Linked DNA regions of Tamandua tetradactyla. The protein of the gene in region 3 binds, or shares a complex with, the protein of the main gene of each other region. Links are inferred from orthologs where the notes say so. Each region holds a gene or a part of one and is shown on either strand. Other genes may lie near its edges.

Evidence for each region.
Region 1: INTS1 (region 3) and INTS12 share a complex: the UniProt entries of both Homo sapiens proteins name them as parts of the integrator complex. The link is inferred for Tamandua tetradactyla from reciprocal best matches to the Homo sapiens genes INTS1 and INTS12.
Region 2: INTS1 (region 3) and INTS6 share a complex: the UniProt entries of both Homo sapiens proteins name them as parts of the integrator complex. The link is inferred for Tamandua tetradactyla from reciprocal best matches to the Homo sapiens genes INTS1 and INTS6.
Region 4: INTS1 (region 3) and INTS9 share a complex: the UniProt entries of both Homo sapiens proteins name them as parts of the integrator complex. The link is inferred for Tamandua tetradactyla from reciprocal best matches to the Homo sapiens genes INTS1 and INTS9.

The regions. Positions count from the first base shown.
Region 1 is NC_135350.1:17,869,676-17,876,517, forward strand, and holds the start of INTS12 (integrator complex subunit 12), read left to right. Parts: upstream 1-3,835; 5' UTR 3,836-3,836; coding exon 3,837-3,974; intron 3,975-6,842. UniProt on the Homo sapiens protein: Component of the integrator complex, a multiprotein complex that terminates RNA polymerase II (Pol II) transcription in the promoter-proximal region of genes.
Region 2 is NC_135330.1:104,750,273-104,757,410, forward strand, and holds the start of INTS6 (integrator complex subunit 6), read right to left. Parts: upstream 3,021-7,138; 5' UTR 2,946-3,020; coding exon 2,835-2,945; exon of another isoform or gene 2,763-2,834; intron 2,527-2,762; coding exon 2,449-2,526; intron 1,706-2,448; coding exon 1,556-1,705; intron 1-1,555. UniProt on the Homo sapiens protein: Component of the integrator complex, a multiprotein complex that terminates RNA polymerase II (Pol II) transcription in the promoter-proximal region of genes.
Region 3 is NC_135349.1:1,062,571-1,070,571, forward strand, and holds the start of INTS1 (integrator complex subunit 1), read right to left. Parts: upstream 3,007-8,001; 5' UTR 2,893-3,006; intron 2,579-2,892; 5' UTR 2,546-2,578; coding exon 2,488-2,545; intron 1,913-2,487; coding exon 1,622-1,912; intron 1-1,621. Other genes in the region: uncharacterized protein LOC143667835, read left to right, coding at 3,804-3,812, 4,197-4,814, 4,904-5,899, 7,607-7,636. UniProt on the Homo sapiens protein: Component of the integrator complex, a multiprotein complex that terminates RNA polymerase II (Pol II) transcription in the promoter-proximal region of genes.
Region 4 is NC_135329.1:30,332,484-30,340,334, reverse strand, and holds the start of INTS9 (integrator complex subunit 9), read left to right. Parts: upstream 1-4,832; 5' UTR 4,833-5,520; coding exon 5,521-5,529; intron 5,530-7,851. UniProt on the Homo sapiens protein: Component of the integrator complex, a multiprotein complex that terminates RNA polymerase II (Pol II) transcription in the promoter-proximal region of genes.

The DNA.
Region 1 (6,842 bases), on a different chromosome or scaffold from region 3:
AAAAAAAAGAAAAAAGATAAATGGAAATGCCTCAAAGTCAAATGTTTTTGTGCCTCAAAAGACTTTGTCAAAAATGTGAAAAGGCATCCAACTAAATGGGAGAAAATATTTGGAAATCACACTTCTGATAAAGATTTGATATTCTATATGCGTAAAGAAGTCATACAACTCAACAGCAAAAGAGCAAACAACCCAATTATAAAATACCCTAAAGGTATGAATAGGTATTTTTCAGAAGAGCAAAAACAGATGGCTAAAAAGTACATGAAGAGATGCTTATGTTCATTAGCCATAAGGGAAATGCAGATCAAGACTACAATGAGATACCACCTCACACCTATAAGAACGGTTGCTACTAAACAAGGAGGCAACCACAAATGTTGGAGAGAATGTGGAGAAATTGGGGCACTTATGCCCTGCTGGTGGGAATGTATAATGGTACAGCACTAGGAAAGATATACTGCAGTTCCTTAGGAAACTAAATATCGAGTGGCCCTATGACCCGGCAATACCAACCCTTGGTATATACCCAGAAGAGTAGAAAGCAATGACCAAAGAGACATTTGCACAGCAATGTTCATAGCACCATTGTTCACTATAGCCAAAAGATGGAAGCTATCCAAGTGCCCATCAACAGATGAGTGGAATAACAAAATGTGGTATATTCATATGATGGAATATTATGCAGCAGTAAGATGAAATAACATCCTGAAGCACATGACAAGATGGATGAGCCTTGAGGACATAAGCCGGACACAAAAGGATAGATACTGAAAATACCACTTTTATGACCATGGTTAAGGTAGAATCAGATGCTTATAATAAGAATATAGGGGATTTAGAGATACACAGAAGCTAGAGATGGGTGAATGGTTAGCTAATGAGGTTGAACTCAAATGTAGGGGAATAGAAGTGAAGGTGGTTCTCTAGTGGGTCTATAAGTAATATTACCATATTGAAGGTAAACATGATTGAAAGGCATTGTATGGACCTATGTGTATTATGGATTAACACTACAAATATAAATAAATTCTTACATGAACTACCGCAAAGATATGAATTTTGTACAAAGAGTATATAAGTTGGGGTATAGAGGGAAAACTGCTAGTGCATTCTATGGGCTATGTTTAACAGGAAAATATCAACAATACCACAGCAACACCATTATTACACCAGAGGTAAATAATGGGGCAAATGACAAGAGTTAAGGGGAGGCTTAGGTTTTCTGTTTGGTGAGTGTGTTTATTGATTTGCTTGTGAAATTGTCTAAAATTGAGTGTTGGTGGACTGTTGACTTTGGATATTATAAATGATGCCCAATGGATGGAGGTGGATGAAGGATGAACTGATAGAGAAGTAGATTAGCTAATGATGGTGTATACATGTGTTAAAATATTGTGCTGCTACAAAAAAGAAACAAATTTGTGAGGCATGCAACATTGAATGAACTTGTACAACATTTGGTCAGGCAAAATCAGCCAGAAACAAAAGAGCAATTATTGTATGGTCTCATTTGGAAAATACTTATAAGAGGGGCCTAGATTGTAAGCTTTTATAGCAGTCACATTTAGTCTGGAGTGGTGATTGTTATTTCTGGATTTTGAGAGACTGTTTTATATATGTATAACCTGGTATTTAGAGGTAAGAATGAAACCGATCAAGGATCAAGTTGGACTTAAGGTATTTCAGAATACAGGGGCAAGGAAGACATTGTTTATATTTTAGCACCTCATCTACTCTTTAAGACCAAAAGAAGAAAGGTTTATTTTGTCCAGAACCTAAATTTTTTGTAGCACTTAATCTAACTCAACCTGTCTGGACAGCTCATTTAAAGAATGGAAGCACAAGGAGCCCAGAATAAGAATGAGGGCCTTTAAACTTGTATATTTAATATAATGCCTGGACATAGCCTAAAATATATTAAGCACATGATCAAAAAGTATTGGCAAAGTCCCTTGAGGGATGACAGAAAAAAATTGGAAGTATTAAACTTTACTATCAGGGAAACCCTAGATACTGTGTCAGACATTAGAAACACAAATCAATCGGCCAGGCCCTTGATCTTGAGGTTTGCTCTTGTGAAGCTTATCTGTGTAGCAGAAAAGCTTAACCTACCTATAGGTATGTCTAAGAGTTACTTCTGCAGAACCTCTTTTGTTGCTCAGATGTGACCTCATTCTCTATAAGCCCAACTCTGCAAGTGAAATCATTGCCTCCCCCCACCCCACATTGAACATGACATCCAGGGGTGAATGTCTCTCTGGCAGCATGGGAGATGACTCCCAGGGATGATTCTGGCCCTGGGACTGTGGTATCATCAGGGTTATCCTGACCAAAAGTGGGAAAAGAAGTGTAACTAATGAAATATCAGTGGCTGAGAAAGTTCAAATAGAGTAGAGAGGCTACTCTGGAATTCACTCTTAAGCATGCTTTGGTTAGGCATTGCTGCCTATCATAACTTGCCAAACCCCAACCAAAACCACTCCTGCCAAACCTAAAGAACACCTAGGGCATTATATAGTATTCTACAAAGGTTCCATGCACTAGGGTAACTTTCCAGAAACCTACAACCTCCAGATGGTCCCTGGACCAGATAAGTCCTGAAATGCAAAGGGGACAGCCTCTTCAGAGCATCAACTAGTTCCATCTCCCTAGCCCATATTATCTATAATCCCTTTCAAATGGAAAAGTTGGAATGGGCATAACCCAAACACCCCTAACGAGTAGGTGAAAGATCAAAGGTAATGGTGGAGTATACAGAGAAGATAGGGTTTAACAATGAGTAGAATTGCTGAATCATTATATTCATATTATATTTCTTTTAGTCTTCTTTATCTTAGAGCAGCTAGAAGTTAAAACATAAAATTGTGGAACTGTAATCCATACTAAACTCTGAAATCTGCTCTACAGATTAGTTCTACAACTAATTGCTGTGATGTGCTTTGAAATTTATTGGGGTTCTTTTTCTGTATATATGTTTTTTTACAAAAAAATAAAAAATAAGCAAAAAAGAATTGTATTTTGTAGAATGTTGGCTTGAAGATTGATTTCAAGATCTTTTTTGGTAATTTAAATACGTAAAGTATGCAGAAAATGTTTTTGTGAAGGAAAAAGAGAGTACTTTTTCCCCTTAAGTAAAATAACTGATTGTTGCAGAATGAGAAACAGGAATGTGTTGGACAAAATGAATGGATATAGAAAATTGTAGAGGTCTTGTTGGAAGTGAACTTTATTGGTTGTGGTTAAGGTTGAATACGATTTTATAGTTTTGTAAGATTTTTAATAGAGTTCTCTTCAGATGTATCTTCATGCAAAACAAGAATTTGTTTTTCACTCCGTTAAATGATAATCTTTTCTTGGATTATTTATTTGTTCTTAGTGAGAAGCTATAAAAGGTTCTTAACCATCTGAGTAATCTACCTAGATGACAAAGATTTTATGTCTTATCAGGCCAATATAGTTATTGATATGTATGTAGACTATCTTCTTCCTTATTGTTTTAAACAGTGCTTCCTTGCTTTAAAAAATATATTTTGTCTTTTAAAAATCATGTAACTCCTCTATTTACTTTCAAACTTTAATGTCACCTTGATTAAATAAAGAACCAAGGAAAAAAAAAGTCAGGGAGACCTAGTCCAAAAAAAAGAACATTGTTTCTCTGGGTTAGATAATAGTTTCAAACCAGTACAACTAGGAAATGGGACCTAGGGAAAAGGCATATATACATATTTTGTATTTATATATAGTACCTGTTTAGATTGGAGGGATCCAGAAGCCCTAGGAAGTGACATTTAAACAAAAATCTCTTTCATTCATTAATGAATATTTTTGAGCACATGTTAGCTTCCCACTCCAGGAATATAACAGTGGAAAAACAAGTCCCTGGCCCTCGTGGAGTTTGCAATCTGGTGGGCATAATCAATTTAAACAAAGTGAAGAATGGGAAAGAGAGCATTCCAGACGAGAACATACAGGTACTCAGTCATGAAAGAAGTAGGGGTTGTTTTGTTTTGTTTTGATTTGAGCTATGGGTTTTTATTTTGGATGTGTGATTGGTTGTGGGGAAAGGGAGTTGTGCTGGGTTTCCTTTTTGTTGGTTTTTGCTGGCGCATTAAAAATGGTTAGATTTGTTTTAGAGGAGAGATGAGACCATTACACTTCGCTCTGATCCCTTCATTCAGTAATGATACCTATTATGTTGTGTACTTTGTAAAGCAGAAAAAAAGATAGGCAAAAAGATAAATATAGCCTTTTCCCTTCAAGTATTCAAGAATTTTGTAGGGAACATAACACTACAAACAGATATGGTTTAAAGTAGTCAGTGCCAGTGCCATGAGAAAGTACTATGAGATCTCGTAGGAGAAAGAGGCAATTAGTAGTATTTGGGGTGGGGAAAGGCACAGCAGCTTTCAGTGGAGTCCTTGAAGAAATATTTGAACTGAGTCTTGAAAGTTGGAAAATATAAAAATGCAAGAAAATCTTCCCAAGCCAAAAAAAGTATGAGTAAAAATGAAAAGACCAACTAATGGCTCTGCTGTAAAGAATTTTTAGAGGCAAGAAATGATAGAGTTTAGGTTTATTAATGAATCTTTTTAAATACAAGGCCAAGTATTTTGAAGGTATACAAAGCCTTGATTTTGTAGCAAGAAAATGGTTTTTTTAATAAAGAAGGAAGAAAAGTATTCTTCAGCTACATTGATATGGCCACAGTTAATGAAATCAGGAGGAAAAATAGAAAATTATTGTTTTAGTTCAAGTGTGCAAATAAAAACCTGAATTTGAGTAGTACTAATGAAAATAGAAAATGGGACAAATGTGAGAAATGTCAGAATCCACAATAAGGACCTGCTGATTATTTGGGTAAAAAGAGTCAGGGAGGGTTCAGTGAGGGAAATATTTAGGCCTCAGACTTGATTAACTGGAAGTTGTGTCATTTACTGATAAACAGTGCAGGACAAGAAACTTGAGGGGGAGAGAATTCATAATCTCAGCTGTAGTCATAACTGAATTCGAGATGCCATTAGAACAATCAGGTAAAGATATCTACTAAGCATTTTAAAGTGTAGGATTTAAGCTTAAGAGAGATTAAGGTGAAAATAAATGAAAGAAATCATATGCCTAGAGATGACAGTTGAAAATATGATATGTATAAGATTGCCAAGGGAGCAGTTGATAGCAAAGCTAAAGAAAATAGCCAAGGACAGATACTTGATCAATACGAAGAGAAGCAGGGATGAGAAGATGAGCCAGAGAAAGAGGAGTCAAAGATAGGAGAGGAAAAACCAGAAAAGGTGAGTATGACAGAACTCAGGGCTGAAAATTTTTATGAAAGAGGAAGTGGATAATGTGTTCATGGGCCAGCATTTGCTAAGTACTGCAACAGGCAGTCTGCTAGATACAGGGTTACAGCAATAAGACCAGTCCACTCCCTGCCCTCATAGAACATACATTCTAATGAGAAATAGATACTATTTGCATAATTAACAGTATGGTGTTTATTATGAAGTACACAATATTTTGGGACCACACAATAAACAATAAGACTTCTAATTTTGTTGGGGAGATGTGCAGGAAAAATCTGAGATTTAAAGGGTGTGTAAGATGAAGGGAGGAAAAGCATTTTCTATTAAGGTGCTGAGATGAGAAAGAGTATGATATGTTGGAGGAATTAAAATAAGTCATATGTGGTTATCACAGAGGATGACTGTAGCTAACATTTAATGAACATGTACTCTGTTAGTTAAGTTGTAACTTTTTTATACATATAAAATGGTAGGACATTAGGGACCTTGTTAAGAATCTCATTCTTTAATGTTTGGACAGTGAGAAGTAACAAAAATATTTTAAGCAAGGGAGTGATATGAAAACATTTGGAGGGAGGCAGAAGTGGTCATGGAAAGACTGATAAGGCTGTTGCAGAGGGCCAAATAATAGGTAAGAATTTGATTTGGGATGGTAGTGGTAAGGATTAAGAATGGAAGATATATTTAAGAGGTTTGGTGATTGAATGTAGGATTGTATGGAAGAGGGAGGAGTTAAAGCTGATTCTCAGGTTCTATCTGGAGTAAGTAGGTGACTGTCATTTATGATGAAGATGAAGAACTGCTTGGGAGATAAAGAGGTTATGGGTGGTTCTGTTAAGAACACGTTGAATAGAAGGCACTGCTAAGATATCCAAGTCAGGCCCCAGAAGTGGAGTTTGAAAGAGAGGTATGGGCTGGAGAGATAAATTTATAATCACTGGCAAAAGGCTGTAGATCAAATTGTCTAGGGAAATCACCTGGAGAACTTAACACATTTGAGGGGCCCTACTCCCAACTGTTTTTGTACTGGACTATTGGAGAGTTATTTCTAACAGAGTTCCCAGATGATGCCATTGCTACTGATCCAGACACCACACTTTGGGAAGAAGGTGTAGATGAGACAGGAGACCCAGAACCAAACCTTGAGGAACTTATTTTGTGTTTAAGTGGAACTGAAAGTATCTACGAAGGTGAATGAGAAAGAAGTAGGAGGAAATCCAGTAGAATACGGTGTAAAGTATTTCTAAGAAGTTGGGAATGGTCAAGAGTATAGAATGCCACTGAGAAATCTAGATGAGGATTTAAAAAGTATTCAATTTCCGTAAGTAGGGCTGTAAATGACGTTGGTGAGAACATTTTCATGGAAAAGTGTGACAAAGGTTAAATTGCATGAATTGCAGCAGAAGTAGAAGGACTGAAGTAAAAAGAATACGAAATATAGGTGACTTTTTGAGAAAGTTTTGCTATACAAAGGAGAAGACAGGATGGAAGAGTCTTCAATATAAATGTCACTGAGGAGATATCAGTAGAAAGCAAAAA
Region 2 (7,138 bases), on a different chromosome or scaffold from region 3:
TCCACAACAATCAGGATTCCTAAGAAAGCAACTAAACAATATTCTTAATAGCTAGTATTGGTGAACTTTTCCACTTAAGGATTGTGATGGTGGAAAACAGGAAATTAATAGTTCTGCTACATACTAACCAAAAAATAAGGATAACCAAACAATGGAAAGTTTCACATTTTTCTTTGATTTCAAAAATAAAGTTTCAACTATAATGTAAGCATAAGATACCTCACCTTTACAAATAGCAAAGGAAAGAAACCCATTATTTTATAGAAACAAACTAAAAAGTTCATGGCATGGCAAATCTGCCTAAATTACTGAAAGGTGTGAAATGAAGGGGGGTGGAATAAAACTATAATGTGGTAAGAAAATACACATATACTTAAATGACCTGCAATTTGGTAAAAGCAGAAGTGACTGCATTGCAATGCACACTTTAAAGGTCACTGAACTAAAATCAGCCATTTGCAAAGGTCCTTAAACACTCAAGTTATCAGTATTAAGTAAAACAAACATTTCTAAAAGAAAGGAACAGTTCAAAGTTGCAGTCACAGAAAGAATTTCCCTGTGATACTTATGAAATCTGTGGCTCATGGAACGTGGGAAAAGATCAGATGTAATGTATAACTAAATGTATCATTGTGGTAATAGTGCTTTACACTACATCATAAGTCCTTGGGTTTAATATTCCTTTCTTATGTGCAACATCACACATTCTTCAGTATCTTTTATTTTCCAGGCCAGCAATCTCATATAAGAGTTATAAAGGACCACCTAGATTATTTCATAGTGAATCATCAAATGATTTAAGGCTCTGTGGGAAACCTTATGTCATCCTCAAATGAAGAAATGCAGGTACAACAGACGGACTTGTGGGGGGGGTTAAGATAGGGTTCCTTTCATATTTTTTCAGACAGCCTCTTTTCCAAGGGTTTGGAGTTTTGAAAAAAAAAACACCACCACCCCCAAAGAAAAACACCTCTAGACCTGCCATTTAATTCAGAATCCCCCTGCAATAGTCACTAATGGTGTATCCTTCAAAAGCTGAGAAATCTTAATGTGCCAAACCAGTCATTGTACCTCAATGAGAACCCTTTCAGAATTGCTATGTCAGAGGATTAAATTAAACCCTTTTGCATTTCCTCTAACATTTTTACTAATATAGAAATAAATAGCACTACTCCACAACCACTAAGGGTTGCCCATCTGCCTGTGGTAGGGTATCAATGCAACGGGGTAAGACCAGACAGGTTTCTTCTTTTATGAACTTCAAGGGATTAAGACCAAATTCATAACACGTAACTTACAGAAAAAATCAGATTCTAATTCTGAATACAAATGCACTGTTAGAACAAAAAAAAAGAGGGCTACAAAACCGTGAACAGTAAGGTGAGAGTTTCACCTTTGTAGTACGTGTTACTATATGTTTTAAACTTACTTCAGCTTAAGTTTTCACCTAAAATGTTTCATACTTCTATTTCAGGTCATATGGATTTTGGAGTGGAATGTGTTTTCCCACAGCATGAAAAAATCAACTATTTTTCCACCTTAATATTCAACCTACCTGCCCATAGTTGTCTATGCCAGTTACTAATCTATTTAAATTTAACAAATCAAAAGCTGTTCTTAGGGACTGGCCAAGAGTCGTAAGTCCTTCAGCCTGAAGGTTTTTCAGTTCATTCATAAACGTTGCATGGTTCTCTTTCCATCCAGCCTGAAAAGAAAAATTTAAGAATATTTTTTCGTCTTGGGGACAGCCATTATAATCTGATGTTCACCAAGTGGCCTCTTTTTCTTGACAGTATGGTCTGGTTAACTTGTTTTATATACTGTATCCCAACTGGGGAAACTCTCCTCCAAAGGTGGCCAAGAACAGGAGCCGCTTGCTCCCGGGGTGGGGTGGCCAGCTGCCTCCGCACTCTGTCACTTGGCTGGGAAGTAGACTACCTGATCTAACACCCCAAGGCGCGGGGTGCGAAGGTTCTGGAGGGAAGAGGACCCTCGCCGGCTGACCTCGAGCTGCCCGGCGGCCCGGGCCAGGCTAGGGCCCTCCGGGGGCGGCTCTGCAGCCCCCCGTCCCGCAGGCGCCCCCGGCTGGAGCCTGACCCGTGCCGACCGCCGCCTGGACGCCTGGGCTCCCGGCCGGGGCCAGCGGGGCGCGGCGGGCCGCTGTCACCCGGGCCGCTGGGAAGAATATCCCCCACAGTTCATTGCTGCCGCCGCGCCGCGGAGGGGAAATGTCGGCCATGTTGAGCGCAGCGCCGCGGGCCGCGCCGGGGAGGGGGCGGCGGTGGCGGGCGGCTCGGCGCCGCGCCGCGCGACCCGAGGCGGGGGAGGGGGCCCGCGGGGGAGTCGCCCGGAGACCCGCGGGTGGGGGAGGGGCGCGAGGACAGCGAGGGGGGAGCGGGGAGGGCGCGGAGCCGACACCAAGAGGGGGGGGAGGCCGAGGGCTGTTACCTTGATGGCATAGGGCGGCTCTTCGAAAGTGACCAGCATGTACCTGTCTCCGCGGCTGGCGGGGTCCCGGGCGCGGAGCTGCGGGAGAGCGGGAGGGAAGCACGCAGGCCAGGGTCCCCGCGCCGCATCCCCCCACCACCTCCCCAGTACCGCACACGCAGCACCCCCCCACGCCGCCCCCACACCCCAAGGGCCCCGCACCCCGCCCGCGGCCGAGCCCCGCTCGCAGCGCCCGCCGCCCGCCCGCCCGCGCGGTGGGGGAGGGGCCCCGCGGCTCCCGCAGCCGGGTCCCCGGCCCCGCGGCCCGTCGCCCCCACCGCCCCCACCGCCCTGCCCCCCGCGGGCCGCCGGGCCGGGATCGCCGCCCGGGCTCGCTCCGTCGGTACCTTCATGAAGGTCTCTACCGCGCCTTTGGCCGTGTCCAGGTAGGTGGTGCCCAGATGGCTGCGCTGGTTCATAGAGGCAGACGTGTCTATCAGGAACAGTAAGATGGGCATAGTGCTGGCCGGGGACACCGCGGCCGGCCGAGGCAGAGATGGCAGCGGCGGAGGCGCCGGGGGCGGCGGCGGCGCGCGGCCCCCGGGAGGAAAACACCGTCTGGGTCTTCCCTCCGGCTGCGGGGAGTTTCTCCCCCGATAGTTGAGAGGAAACTCCCCAGACCCAATCGTCCCCGTCCACCCCCGCCTCCGCCTCCGCCCGCCTGCCTGCCTGCCCGCTGGGCCGGGCGCCCGGCCGTCTGTCTGTCGGTCCGTACCCCCCCGCCTTGGGGGTCCCGTCCCCGCTCCCGGCCCCTGTGTGTGTCCCAGCGGGAGACGGGCCCGACTCCCCACCCCACCCCCGGTTGCAGGGAGTGGGGACCTGGGAGCTGGCGGAGAGGGGAGTGGGCTGAGGGGAGATTGGCCCTGGGGCTGTTGGGAGAAGTTTCAGGGACTCCCTCCGCACCCCAGCGGTATCACCACTTTCTCAGCCCCTCTCGCTACTGAAGCGCTTTTCTCTCGCACACTCCGGTTTTAACTCGGGCAGGGGCTGCAGAGGCTCCGCCCCCCGGACACGTCCCCTGGCCACGTGACGCGCCGCCCCGCCCTCGTATTGGCTAGCCCCTAGACTCTCATTAGCATATTCAAACAGCTCAGGGGCGGGGGAAGCTTGGAGGCCAGCTTTGGGGACGGTTACTGAGCACGCGCGGAGGCGGGGCGTCGGGGGCGCGCGAGCGCGAGCGCGAGGGGCGGGCGGGCGGGCCTGCCGGCGCGGAGGCGGGCTCCGGGAAGGGGCGGGGCCGGGCCGCGGAAGGGCCGCGGCGTGGGGGAGGGGCGGGCGCGCTTTGCGCCTGCGCGTCAGGGCCTCCGGCCTCTTCTGGGCTGGTGGAGGTGATCGGGGTCGGGGGGAGGGGGAGGGAGCCTGGCCTCGGCCTCTTCTGGAGGTCTCTGTGGCGCACCCCTACCCGGTGGGCGAGTGCTGAAGGGACGAGCAAAGTGCACGCGGGTCACTGTGCAGCGAGAGGCGGTGCACTGGGCGCGGGGCGTGGGGGGCGGCCCCGGCGCGGGCGGGTCCGGGAGGGGGAGGAGGGGTTGTTTATGACCAGGGACTAGCCACCTCGCTAGGGAGTGCGGACCCAGGGCCAGGCCTGCAGGGGAGCCGCCGAGGCTGGGGCCGGGGCAGGCCGGGTGCCCTCCGCGGGGGGCCAGAAGGAAAAGACCACCGAAGGGCATGGGGGAAGATAAAAATATCCGTCAGCCGCTTGCTGCCTTTTTACTCTGGGGGCAAGATTGACTGGGCCTAGCGGAAGAAATGCCTTTCTCACGTCGAGTTTACAAGGGGCCTTAGGATATCCAGCCTTGAGAGCTGAAAGGGCCCTCGGTGGCCATGACCCATTACCTTTCCTTTCCAAGTGGAAAACTGACTTCACCTTGCCCAGGCAGCCGAGAATGCACCGAGTGGATCCTGATCACCCTTCCCCAGCTCTTTCCTCCCACTACGTGCTACCTTTCAGACTATTAAAACAAGCCCCTGTCGTTTCACCTGGAGTAATGTGTCCTCAATTTACTGCAGTGGAAGAACTGGCCACATTGCCTTAGATACAGGTAGAATTAGGAGCACAGGGCTCTTATAAGCCTTTGTCGTTATTTATAGAAACTTTCCTACTCATGTTAAATGTGATTTTTTTTTTAATATTCTGAGATTCTTGATATTTGCCTATCGGTCATTTAGAGAAATTGTCCCAATTAATGTCAGCAGAGAAGAGATACTTTGTGTCACATTTTAAAAATCTGTGAGTTTCACAACTTGGAATTTTCCTAGTATTTAAGATATGCTCTGAAACTTTGTGCTAATTTGTAGTAGGACTATTTCAGTAGATAGGGTGTTTTGTGAGTACCTCCCATAGAAGTGTGATATTTGTAAGGAATTTGGACTATGAAGTAGAAAGGGTATGGAATACAGGTCTTTAAGCAGTTTGTTCAGCCACTTTGCTGAAGACCTACTGTGAGCTAGGTATGATGGAGAGTGAAAAAAAGAGGAATGAAGCACGGGGGCCCTCCCTTCAGAGTTTAAGGTTTTCTAGGAAAATATGACATACACATTAAAAACTATTACTAAACCCAAATGATAAGTGTGGTATAAACAGCTCTGCAAATCGCAGGAAAGCTAAGTGCAATCAGCCAAACCCAAAACAGGTAACCAGAACCTATGCCAGAAATGGAGCCTGAAACCAAAGGCCAGTGTTTGGTCCAGAAGCAATGTCCAGAAAGGTCGGGGTGGGGGGGGGGGGGGGGGGGGGGCGGGAGAAAAAGGAAGAAATCCGAACAAGCATAGGTAGCAAATCAAGAGGCAATCAGAAGCCAGGAAGCATTGACTGGCAGACCCTAGACAAAATTATGAAATAGGTCAAGTTTATTCTTAGTGACTCATTTGGTTGACAGTTAAAGCACAGGTTGACAATGGTTTAAAGCAATGATTCTTAGCCAGGAAATGCACATCAGCCTCACATATAGAGCTTAAAGTAATGACAATAAATATACCAGCTTGCCATCCCCAGAGGAAAGTGATTGATAGAGTAGAACTGGAATGGGCCCTGGTCGTCCACATTTTGAAAAACTCTTCATGTGAATCTTATAAATAATAGTGATTGAGAACTGCATGCTTAAAGTATAAAAAGTATGTGTCTGACATCTAGTAGGTACAAATAACTAAAACATTCAAACACCCTTAGATTTATTGCATTTTTGCAAGGACTCCTAAAATAAACAACCCTGCCAGCTAAAGGGAAGACTATGAATGTGGTCACCAATATATTTAACACAATATATTTAATATATTTTTGGCAGAGGCTTATTTAATTTTTTTTTAATTCAACTATATATATTTTGGCAAAAAATAAAGAGAAAAGTCATTTAAGCCGTGCCAGAGATCCCCACTGTCTCCTTCAGTGAGCATAGGTCCTGGAGTGAGCATGAGATGGGAGCCATGAGGCTACCTGTGATTCTAACATGTGGTTATAGAAAGATAATGCAAGATTGTTTTTCTAAAATGTGGCCCCTGAATTCAAGCCAATTATTTCACCTGAGATTCAACTGAAGAACCAGCATTTTAGTGCTAGAGGAAGAACCAGTTAGGAGTCTCTGTGCCCAGTCCTGTTTCCTGTTGTGGTTAGAAGATCAAGGAAAATGTTCCTGAGAAAGCACTGGTCAGAAGAGATATGGTGGAGAAAAAGTGCTCTCTGCTACTGTTTTTAAAGGAGTGTTGTTCAAATGCTCTGGCCCCAGTTTAAAAGGGAGCGAATAAATTGTACAGGAACTGCTGAAATAATGGTGACTCTGGGCCAGACAACGGCTTAAATGGTTGAAATGGAGCTATTCTAACAGAATTAAGAACTGATGAATTAGATACATTTGTAGGAGCCAACCAGAGCTCTTTTAAATTATTTTAAACCAATTAAGCAGGGTAACACGGTTTAAAAATAATTATGTGCCAATGACTCGGTTTCTGGTATCTGGGCATGACATCTGAACATAATAATCAGATGAACCTAGTGTTCCTCAATATGTAACCTAACCAAGTCTCTTCTGGCTAGCACACCAATGCTGTGGCTTCTGTCTTCTAACCTGTGTGAGATGACCTTAGTCAATGATGTTTAAAGATTGAGAACATCAAAGAAACATATAGAAGTGATAAGCATAAACAATTAGATGTGAAACTACATCCAGTGTAGTCAGGTAATACATACATAAGGAAATTTTATTTTGGTAATCCCAATATTACATACTATCAGTCCTCAGAAAAATGCTGCTAAGGACTACTATTAAAAAGAAATTCCAAGGAGCAGTGTTTCACAGTAAGAGTTGAAGTCTCAGATCATTCAAAATCAGCCCTGTAAATAAACATACTCAGATTGAGAAGGGAGTCACAGGGGAACTGTTTTTCTAGCAAAAGAACAGGAAATTGCAGTCAGTCTTTCAGCTATTGTTAATTGCATACCTGATATGTGACGGGCACTGTGCTAGACCCGCAGAGAACTTATGACCTAAAGGGAAAGAACAAAGACCAATAAACAAGAAATGAGAATAAATAGTATGGGATTCAGCAGACTCCAGGCATGATATAATAATGCCTGCCATACAGGGTTGTTTTGAAAATTCAAGGTAACATCCATATTTCATCAATTCTAATACACTATCACCACTATTTTGGGGCC
Region 3 (8,001 bases):
CAGGTCAGGCCCTCAGCACAGAGGAGTCCCAGCCTTTGCCAGCTTGGCTCTTGCTCAGTCAGTTCTGCTCCCCACTGCCTCTGAACTCCAAGTGACCCAGATGCAGACACTGTCCACACCTCTGGGCCACACTGCTCGCCACCATGTGCCAGCCAGGCCACACCCAGACCGAGCCCTGGCACAGCTTCATTCCCCAGGAAGACGGCTCTGCTTCGCCTGTCTTCCTGCCAGCATTCTTTACCGCCTGTAACAATATCATCCATCCTGCAGACCTGATCTCACGCTGCAATTCTGACGTGCCTTCTCCCTACCTGAGCAGTCAGGACACCTGACTGCTCAGCCCCTTAGTGGGACTTACTCCGCGGAGCTTTGAGTTACAGTCACCTGGCGCCTCTGAGGGTCTGCACTCTGGGGGCAGGAGCCACAGGCTATTTATCCTCACACCCCTGTGACTCCACATTCATGGTCTCAATAACATGTGGTGGGTTCAGTTAAACTGATAGACCATTACCAAAGCTGTCAAGACGTTCTGTCTCGTAACTCCTACAAAGAATTTAACCTAAAGAAATGCTCCCACACAATCAAAAATACACAGACAAGGTCTGCTCTCAAACCTACGAGGACCCACGGGCTCAGTGTCTGGGCCTCAATCTCTCTAATAGATCTACCCCACAGGATGCTGTGGGGCCATTAAAGACAACCCCTGGGAAGCTCACACAGAAGCGTAGGGAAAACAAGAGATTCGCACCACGGTAAAAACACCTGTGTGCGTAGTGAAATCATGATCGAGCTTCTATTCTTCTTTTAGGTCTTTAATGTTGTAATGCGTTTTCAACTGGAAAAGGCGGGGGTAAAACGCTTTACTGTTTGCACCTGGGTGGGGAGATACACGCGAATGCAGACCCAGCCTCTCCAGGTGAGGGGACACACGAGGTATCCCAGCCACGAGAGAAGAGCCTCACCTGCCACACTTGCCACTGGTCCCTGTGCTCAGGGTAGCTCCTGCAGAGCAGATGCTCACCAAACGACTACCAGGTTAACTAAAGCTCCCACAGGAGAGCAGCTGGCAGCAGGCTAGGGGTGCACTGACCCTCATGCAGCAGCTTCTTCTGTACCCCTTCCCTGAAGGTGGGGAGAACACAACGGCGGAGGTCCTCCTCTCACCCCACACGTCACAGCTGATGAAGCATCTGCACACAGCAGTCTTGTTAACTCCTAAACCCTATTACTTTTCACCCCAACTTTACAGAGAAGGCCAACAAGGCTCACTGACCTGTCCAATGTCAGAAACTTGCTCTTACAATGTGACTGTGTCATTCTAGATCTCCCTGTGTGCTGCCCCCACCCCACCTCTCTCCTAGGCCATCTCGCCCTGGGCCACCTTAGTATTTCCCTGATTCTTGTCAAGGAATTTAGAAGTGAAGGTGGAATAAAGGCACCTGTACGAGAGGTGCTTTGGAGAATGAATTCTCAGATGAACAAACTGCCCTGTTAAGACATCTAGTCTCATCCGTCCTCTCTCAGGACCCTGACGGTGCTAAGCCTGGGAGGTGTCCACTAAACGCTGCTGGACTCACGAGGAACAGGGTACGTGCTCTGAGGAGCCCAGGGCCTACTTTACCTTCAATCGGTACCACAGATGGTTCTTTAATGGAAGGAGAAATAGCTCGTTTTTCTGCCACTGCAGCCTCAGCCAGGCGCCCCAGGGCACTCAGAGGTGGTGTGGAGGAGAGTTTGGGGCGTTTGGTGAGGCCAGTCAGGCCTGAGGAACCCGATAAAGCAGCTGCAGCATCCCGCTTGCGCTCTGAAGGCAGGCCGGAAGGGGCTGGCTTCAGGAGGGTAGATGCTGTTTTCGATTCATTGGCCTGACCCTTTGAGCCCAGAGCAATGAAATCTCCTGGAGGAGGGTGTCCTGCACAGAAGGGAAAGAGAATACATCCAATCTCCTGTTATTTCAGAGAGAGTTAAACAATGATGAGAGAAGGCACAAAACAAGCCCGAGGCTACTTAGCAAGTCAACAGCTAAACTGAGACTGGTATAATGTAGTATCAAGGATGACCAGCAGTTATGCAAAGCTTACCACTTACAAGTATTAGTTTATTTAATCCTTATGAGTTTCCAAACAGGGTAAAGGACAAGGAGCCCCAGAGAGGCTGAACATGCCCAGGGGTGCAGAGGGTGGAAAGACAAAACCGGAATGCAACTCCAGAGCCTGAGTTTTTAACCACCTTCCTGACGCTGCCCTCAACTACATTATTCTCCGATTCCTGCCTAGAGCCTTGGATGCACCACCTGAAACAAGGTGACAGTCTCCCAGGGGAGGCCACAGCGTCCAAAATCCACCAAGGACTCCAGAAGCTCTTAGGACCGAGGTTTCTTTCTAGACCTCATTGCTAGAAACATACTTTACTGCTAAATAAGCTCCAACTTAGGCCAAAGGGCAAAGCTGAGAAGTCCCCAAAGAGCCCGTTGCTGCTCTCACTCGCCTGAAGGTTTGGCCGCCGCGCTGGGCCTCCGGACGGCGGCAGGCTTGGCACGGTTCATTCTGTCCCCTTCCCCTCGCTGCTGCTGTGTCACCTGAAAGACAGCGCGACATCATTCATTCATTCCTTCCCCTGCCGTGCAGGGACTGAGGACCTAGGGGACGAACGGGGCCCGAAGTCTGCCCGGCGGGGCGTTTCTCAAAGGGGCTGCCTGAGACACCGGCACCCACGCCGCCTGCAAGGGGGCTCGATCGCGCCGGGAGCCGCGAGGCACGGGCCGGGGCGGCTGCCGAGGGCGCGTGGGCCGGCCGAGGCGCCCCGAAGCCTAAGGGAAGACGGGCCGGGCAAGGAGCAAAGAGCCAGCTCCGCCCGGCGGCAAGGGCGAGGCCAGGGCCCCTGCCCACTCACCTCCAGCCCATCGCCTAGGCCACCCGAGCGCCTTCCCGGCCGCTCCGGCCGCCCCGGAACCGGAAACGCTTGCTCCCGCTCTCCGCGCTCCCACTTCCGGAATTGTGGGAAGCAAAACAGCGCGGCGGGAGGCAGAGGAGAGGCGGGCGGGCGGCGCCCTCGCCGTGCCTGCAGCGCCCTCTGGCGGCGGGGCAGCCGCTCAGGACACTGCAGCTTCCGCGAGCGGCCAGAGCCGGCGAGTGCCCGCCCCGCCGAGTGCCCGCCCTTGCGCGTGCCCGCCCTTGCGGGTGCCCGCTCCGCCGAGTGCCCGCTCCGCCGCGCAGCCCGCGGGGAGTACGACTGGTCGGCTGTACAGACGGGCCCCGCCGGGCCTCGGGGCTCGGACGCCTCAGGGACGGGCGGCGGGCCTGGAGTGCCCCGCGGTGGCGGCGAGGGGGAGGGAGCGCAGGAGCCCGGCGAACCCCGGGCTCAGCCTGGGACCACCACCCCCGAGCCCCAGACCTGGGCCCTGCAGGAGCCGCGGCGAGAAGGGGCGCCGGGAAGGGGCGCGGGGTCCGGCGGGGAAGGGGCGCGGGGTCCGGCCGGGACGGCGGGGAAGGGGCGCGGGGACGACGGGGAAGGGGCGCGGGGTCCGGTGGGGACGGCCGGGAAGGGGCGCGGGGACGGCGGGGAAGGGGCGCGGGGACGGCGGGGAAGGGGCGCGGGGACGGCCGGGAAGGGGCGCGGGGTCTGGTAACGTTGAAAGTTCCCATAGCTTGTAACTCAGCAGGTTCACTTTGAGAGCAGTGTGGAGCAGTGCTACCCGATGTGCGCGGGAGGACCTCTCCTGCAGCCCTGAGCTGGGGCCTGCTTGAACCGCTGGTTGGAGCGGATGGAGCCCAGCATTTCCTGGCTCTGCATCCAGTGACATCATGCTGCTGGCTTGAAATCAGTCAATGCAGGAATATCTGCACCACAGAAATTAGTAAACACCACAAACCGGGACGGCGGGGAAGGGGCGCGGGGTCCGGTGGGGACGGCAGGGAAGGGGCGCGGGGTCCGGCGGGGAAGGGGCGCGGGGGCGACGGGGAAGGGGCGCGGGGTCCGGTGGGGACGGCCGGGAAGGGGCGCGGGGTCCGGTGGGGACGGCCGGGAAGGGGCGCGGGGTCCGGCGGGGAAGGGGCGCGGGGGCGACGGGGAAGGGGCGCGGGGTCCGGTGGGGACGGCAGGGAAGGGGTGCGGGGACCGGTGGAAGGGGTGCGGGGAAGGGGCGCGGGGTCCGGCGGAAGGGGGCGGGGAAGGGGCGCGGGGTCCGGTGTGGACAGGCCGGGGAAGGGGCGCGGGGTCCGGCGGGGACGGCAGGGAAGGGGCCCGGGGACCGGCGGGGAAGGGGCGCGGGGTCCGGCGGAAGGGGGCGGGGAAGGGGCGCGGGGTCCGGTGTGGACAGGCCGGGGAAGGGGGCGGGGACCGGCGGGGAAGGGGCGCGGGGTCCGGCGGGGACGGCAGGGAAGGGGCCCGGGGACCGGCGGGGAAGGGGCGCGGGGTCCGGCGGAAGGGGGCGGGGAAGGGGCGCGGGGTCCGGCCGGGACGGCGGGGAAGGGGCGCGGGGTCCGGCCGGGACGGCGGGGAAGGGGCGCGGGGTCCGGCGGAAGGGGGCGGGGAAGGGGCGCGGGGTCCGGTGTGGACAGGCCGGGGAAGGGGGCGGGGACCAGCGGAAGGGGCGCGGGGTCCGGCGGGGACGGCAGGGAAGGGGCCCGGGGACCAGCGGAAGGGGCGCGGGGTCCGGCCGGGACGGCGGGGAAGGGGCCCGGGGACCAGCGGAAGGGGCGCGGGGTCCGGCCGGGACGGCGGGGAAGGGGCGCGGGGTCCGGTGGGGACGGCGGGGAAGGGGCGCGGGGTCCAGCGGGGACGGCGGGGAAGGGGGCGGAGACAGCGGGGAAGGGGTACCCTCAGCCCCAGGCACCCACCTGCAGACGGGGTCCGGGAATGAGGCCTTCGAGAGGGTCTTGCCACTGGGCTCCTTTGAGGGAAGAAGACTCAGAAACTCCGAGTCTTTTGGGAGGCAGCAGGCAGAGACGTGTTGGTGGCAGGCCCCTCCCGCGTCCAGAGAGGAACAGAGGCAGGGTACCTCCATCCCGGGGTGGGGGTTGTGCCCACGAGGGGCCCCCTCCCCTCCCATCTGCCCCCCCCCCAGGGTCCGGGGCCCTCTGGCTGTAGCCCCCCAACTCCCCAGGATCAAGCCAGCAGGAGCCCATCCCAGCTCAGAGGCCTGTGGGAGCCCGAGAGAGGGTCCCTGGGCAGTGGGGGTGGCCTCTTCTTGAGGGAAGCTGGGGCGGGACGAGGCGGACTTGACCGCCCTGCGCCCTCCGGTACGGGGAAGCCACACGCCCAGCCCCAGGCCTTCCACGGAGCCTTCCTTGAACCCCCACGGCCACCCGCCTGCCCCGGCCCTCCCAGGGCTCCAGGCCACCCCCTGCCCACCCCTGGGAGACTATGGGGGTCCCTTTGTCCCAGCTGCCCGGAGGCTGGGGCAGGGAAGGGATTCACCTGGTGGCCAAGCCCAGCAGTGGCTGTGTGGTCGCGGACCCCAGAGCCCCGGCTCTGCCCCCTGGAGCTCGGCCGCTTAGGCCTTCCCACCCTGGCTGCAGGGCCGAGGCCAGGCAGCCCGAGCCCCACCCCCCACATCTGGGGCCAGGAGACTGTGGTAGGGGCTGCGGGCGGTGCGGGGGCTAGGACACTGCTGTACCCCTGCCCGGCTGCCACGTGGGCCTCAGCTCCAGGGGTGGCACAGGCGCCCTGGGGCTTCCTGGGGCCGGGGCAACATGGACAGGGCAAGGCGATGGAGGGAGGACAGGTGACTCCTCAGTCTGCCAGATGTTGGCATCGCGTCGGAGGGTCCAGCAGGCGAAGCCCCCGACACAGGCGTCCCTCCGTGTCCCCTACCTCCTGGTGTGCGCCCTGGAGGCAGGGCTGCGCTCAAGGTGGGGGCTCAGAGGGGATTGCTGATTGGACACCCAGGCGAGGGCAGGTGAGCCCCCCAGGCCTGCGGGTGGGAGGGGTGGCGGGTGGCTCGGGGATGCGTTAGGAGGACACAAGAACCATCCCCTCTGCACTGAGCCCTGAACCCCCCACATGGGGGTTGCCTGAGACCCCCCACAAAACCCGCAGCCGACAGGCACTGGGGGGGCTGCTTCTGTGATGATGCCTCAGACCCCGGGGTGCACGGGGGCTCCCCAGCTGGACGGGCAACATCACAGGCGGACAGTCGGCCCTGGCTGCTGGTGCACGAGTTCCAGCCCAGCCTCCCTCCAGGGGTGGGGAAGGGGTGCAGCCTGACCCCTTGCCCCTGTGACCCCTGACCCCAGCACCTCGGGCCTCTAGCCATTCCCAGACCAGGAGGATTCTGGGTCCCCTTCACTGCCGGGTGCCCCGAGGCATCACTGCACTGGGGACAGGGCAGGAGGGCGCCCTGGCCGCCCCAGGGCCTCGGTGCATGTGGGCGCTGGGTTTGGAAGCCAGAAGAGGCGACCATGATGAGTCCACCCCACTCTCTCCTGCTCCTGTTTGCTGAAGCTCCGGATGCCATCCGCCAGCCACAGTCAGCTTCAGCAGTGGGGATTTATTAGCTTACAATTGACAGGTCTAAGGCCGTGAAATTGTCCAGTGCAAGGGGTCAGCAGGATGATACCTGGCCTCTGCAGGCTGCCGGCATCGGGGCAGCAGTTGGTCCTTCTCTCCCGGGCCTCCGTCTAAGCTTCCACAGGCCCTCTCAGCTCCTTGGGGCTTTTCTCTGGGCTCTCTGGGCTCTTCTGTCTTTTTTCCTCATATAGAACTCTAGTAAAGGGCTAAGGTCCACCTTGAATGGATGGGGTCCCAGCTCCAGGGACACCACCTAAGCAGAGGGACCACCCGCAGCAGGCCTGTGCCGCAGGAGTGGGTTAAAAGGGCCTAGTGAAAGCGTTGCCCTCCCCCTGTGTGGGACATGACGTCCAGAGGTGAAAGTCCCTGGCGATGTGGGAGAGGACTCCCAGGGATGAATCCAGACCTGGCACTATGGGATCAACAATTCCATCCTCACCAAAAGGGGGGAAAGAAGTTTAATGAAGTATCAGTGGCTGAGGGAGTTCAGAGTCCAGAGACTACTCAAGGTCATTCTTAGGCAAGCTTCAGGCAGACCTTGCTACCTGTCATAACCTGCCAACCCCAACCAGGACCATTCCTGCCAATCCTAAAGAACACCTAGGGCGATATATAAGATGCCACATGGGTCCAGGCACTAGAGTAACTTTCCAGAAACCTACAACCTCTAGATGGGTCCCTGGTCCAGATAAGTCCTGACACCTAGAGGGCCCAGCCTCTCCAGAACATCAGGTAGTTCCATCTCCCTACCCCATATTAGTGACAGCCCCTTCCAACGTGAAAAAGTTAGAAAGGCCGTAGCCCAAATACCCATAAAGAGAGGGATAAAGATCAAAGGTGATGGTGGAGTTAGAGAAGATAGGGTGTTCCAAACTGCCAAAGCTGCCAGAAAGCAGCACACCAGAGATGGACTTGCTTTTAATAAACGGGGATGTATTTAGTAAAGAACGTATAGTTCTTCAGAGGAAAGGCCGCTAACTTTCATTTGAGGTTCTTTCTTAATGGGAAGGCACAGGATGGTCTCTGCTGGCCTTCTCTCCAGGTCTCTGGGTTCCAACAACTTTCCCCGGGGTGATTCCTTTCTGCATCTCCACAGGCCTGGGCTGAGCTGCCAGTGCTGAGATGAGGTGTGCTGAGCTGCTTGGGCTGTGCTACGCTGAGTCTCTCGTTTAAGCCTCCCATGAATTAAATTGAACCTCACTCACTGAGGACAGCCCTCCCATTGGAGACTGCAGATGGGATCCTCCATAGATGAGTTTCACAGGCCAATGATTCAAATCCACAGCAGCAGAACCAGACACATCACCTGGCCAAGTTGACACGAACTTAACTACCACATAGGATTTAACAAATGGATATGACTGCTGGGTCATTGAATTGACATCTCTTTCAGTCTCCAGTATCCAAGAGCAGCCAGAAATAAAATCCTGAAATTGTGAAATCATAATCTACATCAAACTCTTCAATATGTTCTACAACTAATTGTGGCAC
Region 4 (7,851 bases), on a different chromosome or scaffold from region 3:
AGCAGGAAGATGAGTTTAAGAGACTAATGTGATAAGCCAGAAATGATGAAGGCCTGAATTAAAGGAATAGCAACAGAATGAAAAGAAGAGAATAGATACAAAGAATGTAAAATCAACTTGACTTCATGATTGGATGGGAAGAGTGAGAATGATTCCAAGGCTTGACTGACTAGGTTCAACCAAATGTCTTCATATTTTAACAATTCTACTACTTTATCAAAATATTAAACCAAGAGTCTCAGTTATTTGATTTTTTCTCTATTAAAAATGTAACTATATATATATATATATATACTCTTATCAAAATCAGCACTCTCAGTTTAAGAAAAACCTTTGAATGGATTAGCACCATTTTATCACTTATAATAGGGTGGGGGGTGGGGGTAATCTCAGGTCATCTGTTTTAAATTTAAAAAATAAAATAAAATAACTGATCACTTCGAAGTTAAAAACCAGACTACTGTTCTTTTTTCTCCTTTGTTTGCAAATGTTAAAAAAAAAAAGCCTATAGTTAAAGCTCAATCAACAATCTGCGAACTTCTGCATTAAGATTATTATAATAACCATTGAAAGAACATACCGTAACTTCAATCTTAGTATCACTGTAAAGGTGAAACTTTGCTAAAGCCAGGGCCTTCCAGTAACTAAATGCTCCTGGAAAGCATCCAAGACAATATTATAGTAAATTTCCAACTTGTTTCATCTAAATTTAAGGAAAATGAGTTATCTAAGGCACTGGATTATGTTTAAATAGACTCTATAGTTTTATATCAAATAATCACTCAGAAAAATCTTTATACCTATGACACACCCTAAATCCAATAATAACTATCTGACGGATAGTTGCACATAGTATCTAAGTCATATATTACGAAGGATATCATTTTTAGAAAAATTTCAAGACCCATATTTTGAGAGAACTACATTTTTGAGAACCTATTAATACAATAGCTTAGCAATAAAACGCTGAAAATCTCCATAGTTTCTACAATGTGGAAGCACGTGAAGGTGGTTATCTCTTAGTTTCTAGAGTAAGTCACTGTTCAGAGTCTCCTGCTATTTGTGGCACAGGCTGTTTTTTATGGGCTGCATGTCTGATAGATATGTATCAATGTCATATATAAACAAACATTAAAATGTTTTATATATGGTGAGTACATATATGACACTATAGACAAGCTGGCTTTCACTCATAACAATTTTTTTGTATAAATCAAAGTTCTTCTAATTTGAGAAGTAAAAGCCAACAGTTAATAGAAATATCTAACCAATGGCTAGAATTGCAAAGTGAACTATAAAATTAACTTTGGTAGTGAAAAACAACTTAAGAAAAACAGATTCACAAAACAAACCAATGCATTTTCACTCAGCACTTCCAAGCATATCTACAAATTGCCACATTTTAAAAAGTTGAATGGCACCAAAACAAATGAATTTATGACAAATGTCATCAAAGGAAAAATTTCTAGTTGCCAAGTGAAATCATTCAAATTTAAATATCTACATACAAAAATAATAGAGCAAGAGCTGCAATGAAACAGAAAAACCAAAGATTTTACAGGAGACATAGTAGCTCTGTGAAACATTAAAAATAGGATGGACTGAATACAACATACTGGATGAATATTCCCATAATTTTCAACAAATAATGAAACAAGAAATGCCATTCTAATCAATACTTGCCATAAAAATTGCCTTACAATGGTTACTTGTTTTTTATGATGAAACCATGAGAGATTTATAGCAATATAGCTTATGATCTACCAATACGGAGATAATAAGTTCATATTAGTGATGTTTTAACTAAGGACTTGCCTAATAAAAGACTGAAATTTGTTCATACAGCAATGAAAATGAAGCCTCAACAAAGATATTGAACATAAACTCCCAAAGGCAGCCTGATGCATATTTGTAACCACAAATCGCATTCACTACATGCAATACACAAACTAGCAACAGATTGGGTTAAAAACTGTTTGGATTTTCAACTTGCCATAATATAGACAACATTTTTAGAAATGATCACATGAAAATAAATGTGGCTTTCACAGTTACAGGATGAAATTTTAAGCTGGCCAGGCACCAATGCCCTGATTTTCCACTTTTTTTCGTAAACCATATGACTTTCACATGCTGAGAATGCTTTATGCTTTAACCTGCAGTAAAGGCTTTACATCATTTTAATGCCCTGGGCTTAAAATGCAACAGAATCCCCTCCCCCACAACAAATGTACGAAATATATGTGGTTTACATGCAAAGATTTCATCCAGACTAATAATCAAAGTAAGTTTAACGAAAGCTTTTCCCAGCAAATAACTTTGAATTTCCATAGAAGAAAACAAAACAACAACAAAAAAATTTTTGAGGGTAGGGCAGGTAGAAGAAAACACATTTCCCAACTCCAACAAACATTTTAGGTCTGTTTCTTAAAATAACTGTTAAACATTTTAAAACTCTATGGCTAGGATAATATCGTTCAGCAAAAACCACACTATTACGTAGTTACATAGGATTTTTCCCCAGTTTTTGCAATGTAATGTTTCAGTACATTCAGTACATTCAATCTTCAATGTAAGACATAATGTTAAAATAAATAATTCTGGAAATCCTAGTTTATAACAAACTAATGACTCGGCTTTGAACCAACATATTCTACATTCTAAATTTGAGATTTAGAAAACATCAATTTTTTTAAATTCAGGCCAGTCTAAATATACATGCTACCTTGCACTTCAGTCAGTTTATGTGAATGACCAACAGCAGAAATTTCAATAAAAAGTTATGAAATATAACATAAAATCACATACTAAATGTGATTTTCAGTTTTTGTACACTCTAAAGTCCCTTACTGATAGGTAGTGGTTTCAAGAATTGATAAGTTTCAGGGGAAATAGGTAAATACATTAAATTCTCAACAGTCTAAATAGAAATTATGGCAATTATTTTAGTTACTTAAAAATCCATTACACTAAAAACACCACTAAGAAGGGTTATTTAAAAACTTACATTTCAGATTGAAGAAAGTAAAAAACAAATTATACTAAATTCTCCTGGTATAATGTTATTAAATATTAAAGACTGAGAAACAAGTGATGTTGCGATCCTCTTTCCTTTATAATTCAGATTGCAAATAGAAGAAAATTAGAATTCAAATTTTCATAATTTAACTAGATTTGACAACTTGTGCGATTTAAAAATAAGTTTAATGCAAAGCACTAAAATCCTAAATGATATTCACTTGTGGCATAAATGCAAAATAAAAATAAATGCAGATCCTTTTCATTTAATGATAAATATGATAATAAACCCACAGAAAAGTACAACCATATTAGTGCAAACTAAATAAAAAGGCACAGTAGGCATTATGTCTATCGGAAAGAAAAATGATGTACCATGCCAAGAAAAAAAGGAAAGAAAAACGGCTGGTAGAAGGATGGAAGGATGGAAGGATGAAGGAAGCAAAGAAGATCTCTACCAGCAAGATTCCAGAGAAATGAACTAGTCATCTAATGATACATGAGGTTTTTAAAGCTTCAGAGTAAATAAAGACAGCAACCACTTTATACTATCCAACTTTACATAGTATATATCTTTAATACCAACTGCCTTCTCTTCACTCACCCAATGCTTCCTCACTCTTCCATACCAGCTTCCAGGCAAATGCCAGGCAGAACAGGGTGGGGTAAAAGAAAAATACAAGCAGCGCCTTTCAGCTGCCCCCCAGATAATTTCCGACAGTTTTTCCTAGCACGAAAATAACTCGTCTTATCTCAAGATACGCAACAGTCATCCTGTGTCTTTAGTAGACAATGAGAACACATACAGAATTCAGCACTTCCGACTCCCACCCCACACACCAAATTCTTAAGTAATTGTTAATCTATTTAACAAGAAGACTGTGAGATACCTCTACCTAATGTTCCAGAGTGAGGGTGGGTGGAGGACTCCTTTCAAAGTAGCCCCAATAGTGTAACCAGAACACGGTTCCGGAATAAAATATTAAGAACACTTTTGGTTTGCCACCTATCTACCGACTTAAGGATGCAAAAATCCATCTCCAAACCACATCATCTCTACAGTTCTCCTACCCTGAGTTTGGGGCGGAGATTTGTCCAGAAGAGCGGATGAAGGCAGGGAGGAGTAATGTGAGTGAGTAATGGGACACAACGAGTTGCTACCCCGCACCATGTCGCCAGCCCAAACGCCCAGGATCAGGACCTCACGCACGCTTCTCAGCCCAGGCCCAGGAAAAAGCTATGTCTCTAGCTATTTAACTTCTTATCTATAGACATTTACTCAATACAAACATATCATACAAGTACACGTCACACAGTTTAAAACAGTTATGTACACACCAAATAAATCAACGTACCTCAAAATCACCTTAGTTACCCAAACTCCAAACTGCAGACCCTACCTCCAGGATTCAAACCTTCCGCCCAGTTTAGGAAACAAGGAGAAAGAGTTGGGGAGCAGCCAACGCCTTTCACTTACAGCCCCCCACAAAGTGCCCCACCCCATACCCTGCGTCTGGGTCACACACTCTGAAGCCCCTGATTCTTCCCTCTTCTCAATCGGGCCGCTTAGGAGACCCTTCCCAGCCCACACACTTTCTCCCCAAAACCCCTTTAAAAAAAAAAAGTGAAGAGTAAGAAGTAAGGGAAAAGACTTGAGGAAGTCCGGCTTCAAAACCTCTCGACTCACCTCAGAATCCTTGCTGAGTTCTCTTCGCCCGGCACAGCCCCCTCCCCAACGTCCCAGTACGAAGGTCTGAGGTAAGGAGGAGGGGAAAGCAGGAGGGGGAGGGGTGTCTTCCGCGTGGGGCGCCAGTTGGAAGGGGACTGGGGAGGGGTTGAGACTAGCGCAGGAAGAGGAGAAGGGGGAGGGGAGGCCCCTATCTCCCAGTCTACCCCTGAAAACCACCCTTGTCTCAATCACATCAGACTGACTGTCTTTGTCTGGCTGACAACCGCCATATTGATATCAACAGCCCCGCTCCCACCTGCTGCCGCCAGGCGATCCTGGGAGTTGTAGTTCCTGCCTCCCTTGAGCAAAAGCGCGGGACCCGTCAACTAGAGACCCTAGAGAACTACAGCTCCCAGCAAGCCGCGCGCCCATCCGCCTTCCCACAGGGAGGAGGGAAAAGGGGTCTCAGTCGCAGGGAGACTACACGTCCCAGAATACCATGGACCCCAAACCCATATGGGGGACATGATATCATGCTGGGGTGTAGAAAGAGAAAGAGAGAACGAGAAGATGAAGTGGCAACGCGGATGAATTTGAGCTAAGGGAAGGAGGAGTTTAGAGAGGAAAGGGAGGAAAAGGAAAGATGACCACAATTCCCATGATGCATCTAGGGAAGACTACAGTTCCCATGACTCCCTGGGAGAGGGAAGCGTAGAAAGAAAGACTGCATGTTCCGAGATCCCCTTTGCGGCTCGGTGTCGAGGATTGAACCGGAAAACGCTTTCTGGGTGTGAGGAGTCGAGTGACGGGTATCTGACAACCTAAAGTCCGATATGAAACTGGTGAGTCTCCGCTCCTAGGTCAGGTGGCAAAGCAGATGTCATATCATTTTTGGACTTCGTCGTTTCCATCTTGGGAAGAGATCAGTTGGGGAGAAGGAGTGGCTTTGAGGAAGCTAGAAAGTGGGGTGAACTAAGGAAAGCTGCTTTTTTGTTGTTGAGGAAGCTTGAATTCCCCTCCCCCCTCTCTCTCTTTAGAACTCTCTGGAGAGCTTATTCGCTCATTAACTGGGCCCTTTGGTCAGATAAAAGGTTGACTGTCACGCATTTATCACCTGTGAACTAGGATTGGGCTTGATTTAACTTCCACGTGAGTGTTATAATAAGCACACTGTTGGTATTCATCTGTCACCACTTGTACTTTTTTAGCGCGTCTCCCTGCCCTTGTTGAGAAGAAATTACTAGGCAGAACGTGGTCACTTATTAAATTTCCTGACATAGACTTCGAACTGCCCTTGGAATTCAGAGAAGGACGAGATTAGCGTGTGATCTTGGAGGATTTGAATCTTAAACTCCGCATAGAATTTGAATGGACAAAGAGGAAGTGGTCTAGGTCTGTAGGGACTGCCTGAGCCAAGGCTAGGGAATATGCCAGTATACGAGAATCATCAGAAACTCAAACACTTGACTTACATAAAAGTTTCTCAGACCTTTATTTTGAGCCATTTTACTCTTAATTGTGCATACAGATCTAACAGATTTGTTTATTCCATTCCTATTGAACTAGTAATAGTATAATTAGAGGGAAAGTAGGAAAACAGCTGTGAAATGTTTCTCAACTGCTTAAATCCATGTTCCAGCACCTAAGTTAATGTCAAGCTTTACTTCCTGTAACTTTTTTTACAGAAACAAAAGTTTATTTTCTTTTTCATTAATATAATTATTTGTATATGTGCTTTTCCAAACTACTTCTATCCCCTTCCACCCATTTGATAATCACTATGTTACATGATACGCTATGAAAATATCAGCTATTTGCAGGAACGTCAGAGAAAATATTTAAAAATTCAAATCCAAAACCATCTCCTCTTCAAGTTGTTTATGTAAGGGGAAGGATGCACGTCAGTAAACCTTGAGAATATCAGCTTGCTTCTGAGTCAGTGTGCAGAATTTAAGAATGCAGAATTGAAAGACATAGCCCTTGGTCCAAAGAAGTCTGCATTCTAATAAAGATAGAAAAGCAAGCCAAAATTAAAATTCACTGTGTTAATAGTAAAAATAGAGGAATACTCAAGGTTTGGGGAATTAAAGGGACAAGAATGGTTAACTGGAGATGTCTGGGACAGCTTCCTGAAAAGGTTATTGGTTCTACTCCCCAAATGAATTGTTTTTTCAATAGTTCCATTTCTCTTCAATCCCACTATTACTACCTTTGTACACGCTTTTCTCCCTTGACACCTAGAATTCAACAAGACCCTCTTAATAATCTCCCTGCATTCATTTTTAACCCTTTCGACTCCATTATCTTCTCCAAATCCCAGAAATTGTTTTAAAATGCAGAGTTCCATAAAACCCCTCAGTAGCTTCTTTTGCTCTTAAGGTGAAATCTTATAAATCTAACTTAATTTAGTTGGTCCTGCAGAATATGGCCCTTCCTGCCTCTCCAGGCTTATTCTTGGCCCTCTTCTGTCTCACTCTCTCTGTTCCAATTATATTGTACAACTTCCAGTTCCTTGAGATCATCCTGTACTCTTTTTCTTATTGAACTTTAAATGTGTTCTATTGCCTGCAACGCTTTTTTTGCCTGGCTAATTTCTTTGTGCATTTCAGGTCTCTGTTTTAAAAAAGCGCTTCTTCAGGCTTCCTTGAATTAAATACTCTTTGTTATATATGTCCATGGCATACTTCCTGCGTGTACCACTTATAATTATTGGTGTTATGTCTGTCCTCTCTCATGTAGACTCTTTGTATTCCCATGGCCTGATAATATAGTGTAACCCCCCTAAGTAGGAGTAGTTGAATAAATAATTTCTGAAGGATTATTGAGGTCGATGAAGAAGGCTGAGAAAAGGTTAAGGGTGCAGGTAAAAGATTAAAGAAAGTAATAACCATTGGAGTTATTATTAAAAGTAATAATAATTGCTACTGTTTTAAAACAATTACTGTTTGCCAGGCAGTGTGCTAGGAAATTGCTATATAGCATCCCATTTAATCCTTTGATCTAGGTATTAGTACTACCATTTTCCTGATAAAAATGTAAGTCTCAGGGAGCTGAGGTAAGTGGTTCAGAATTACGGATATAAATGTTAGAACCAAGATCTGATCCCACGTTTCCCTGACTCCAGAGTGTTGCTTTTTAAAGGTGAGGGCTCTAGCGCTTTACAC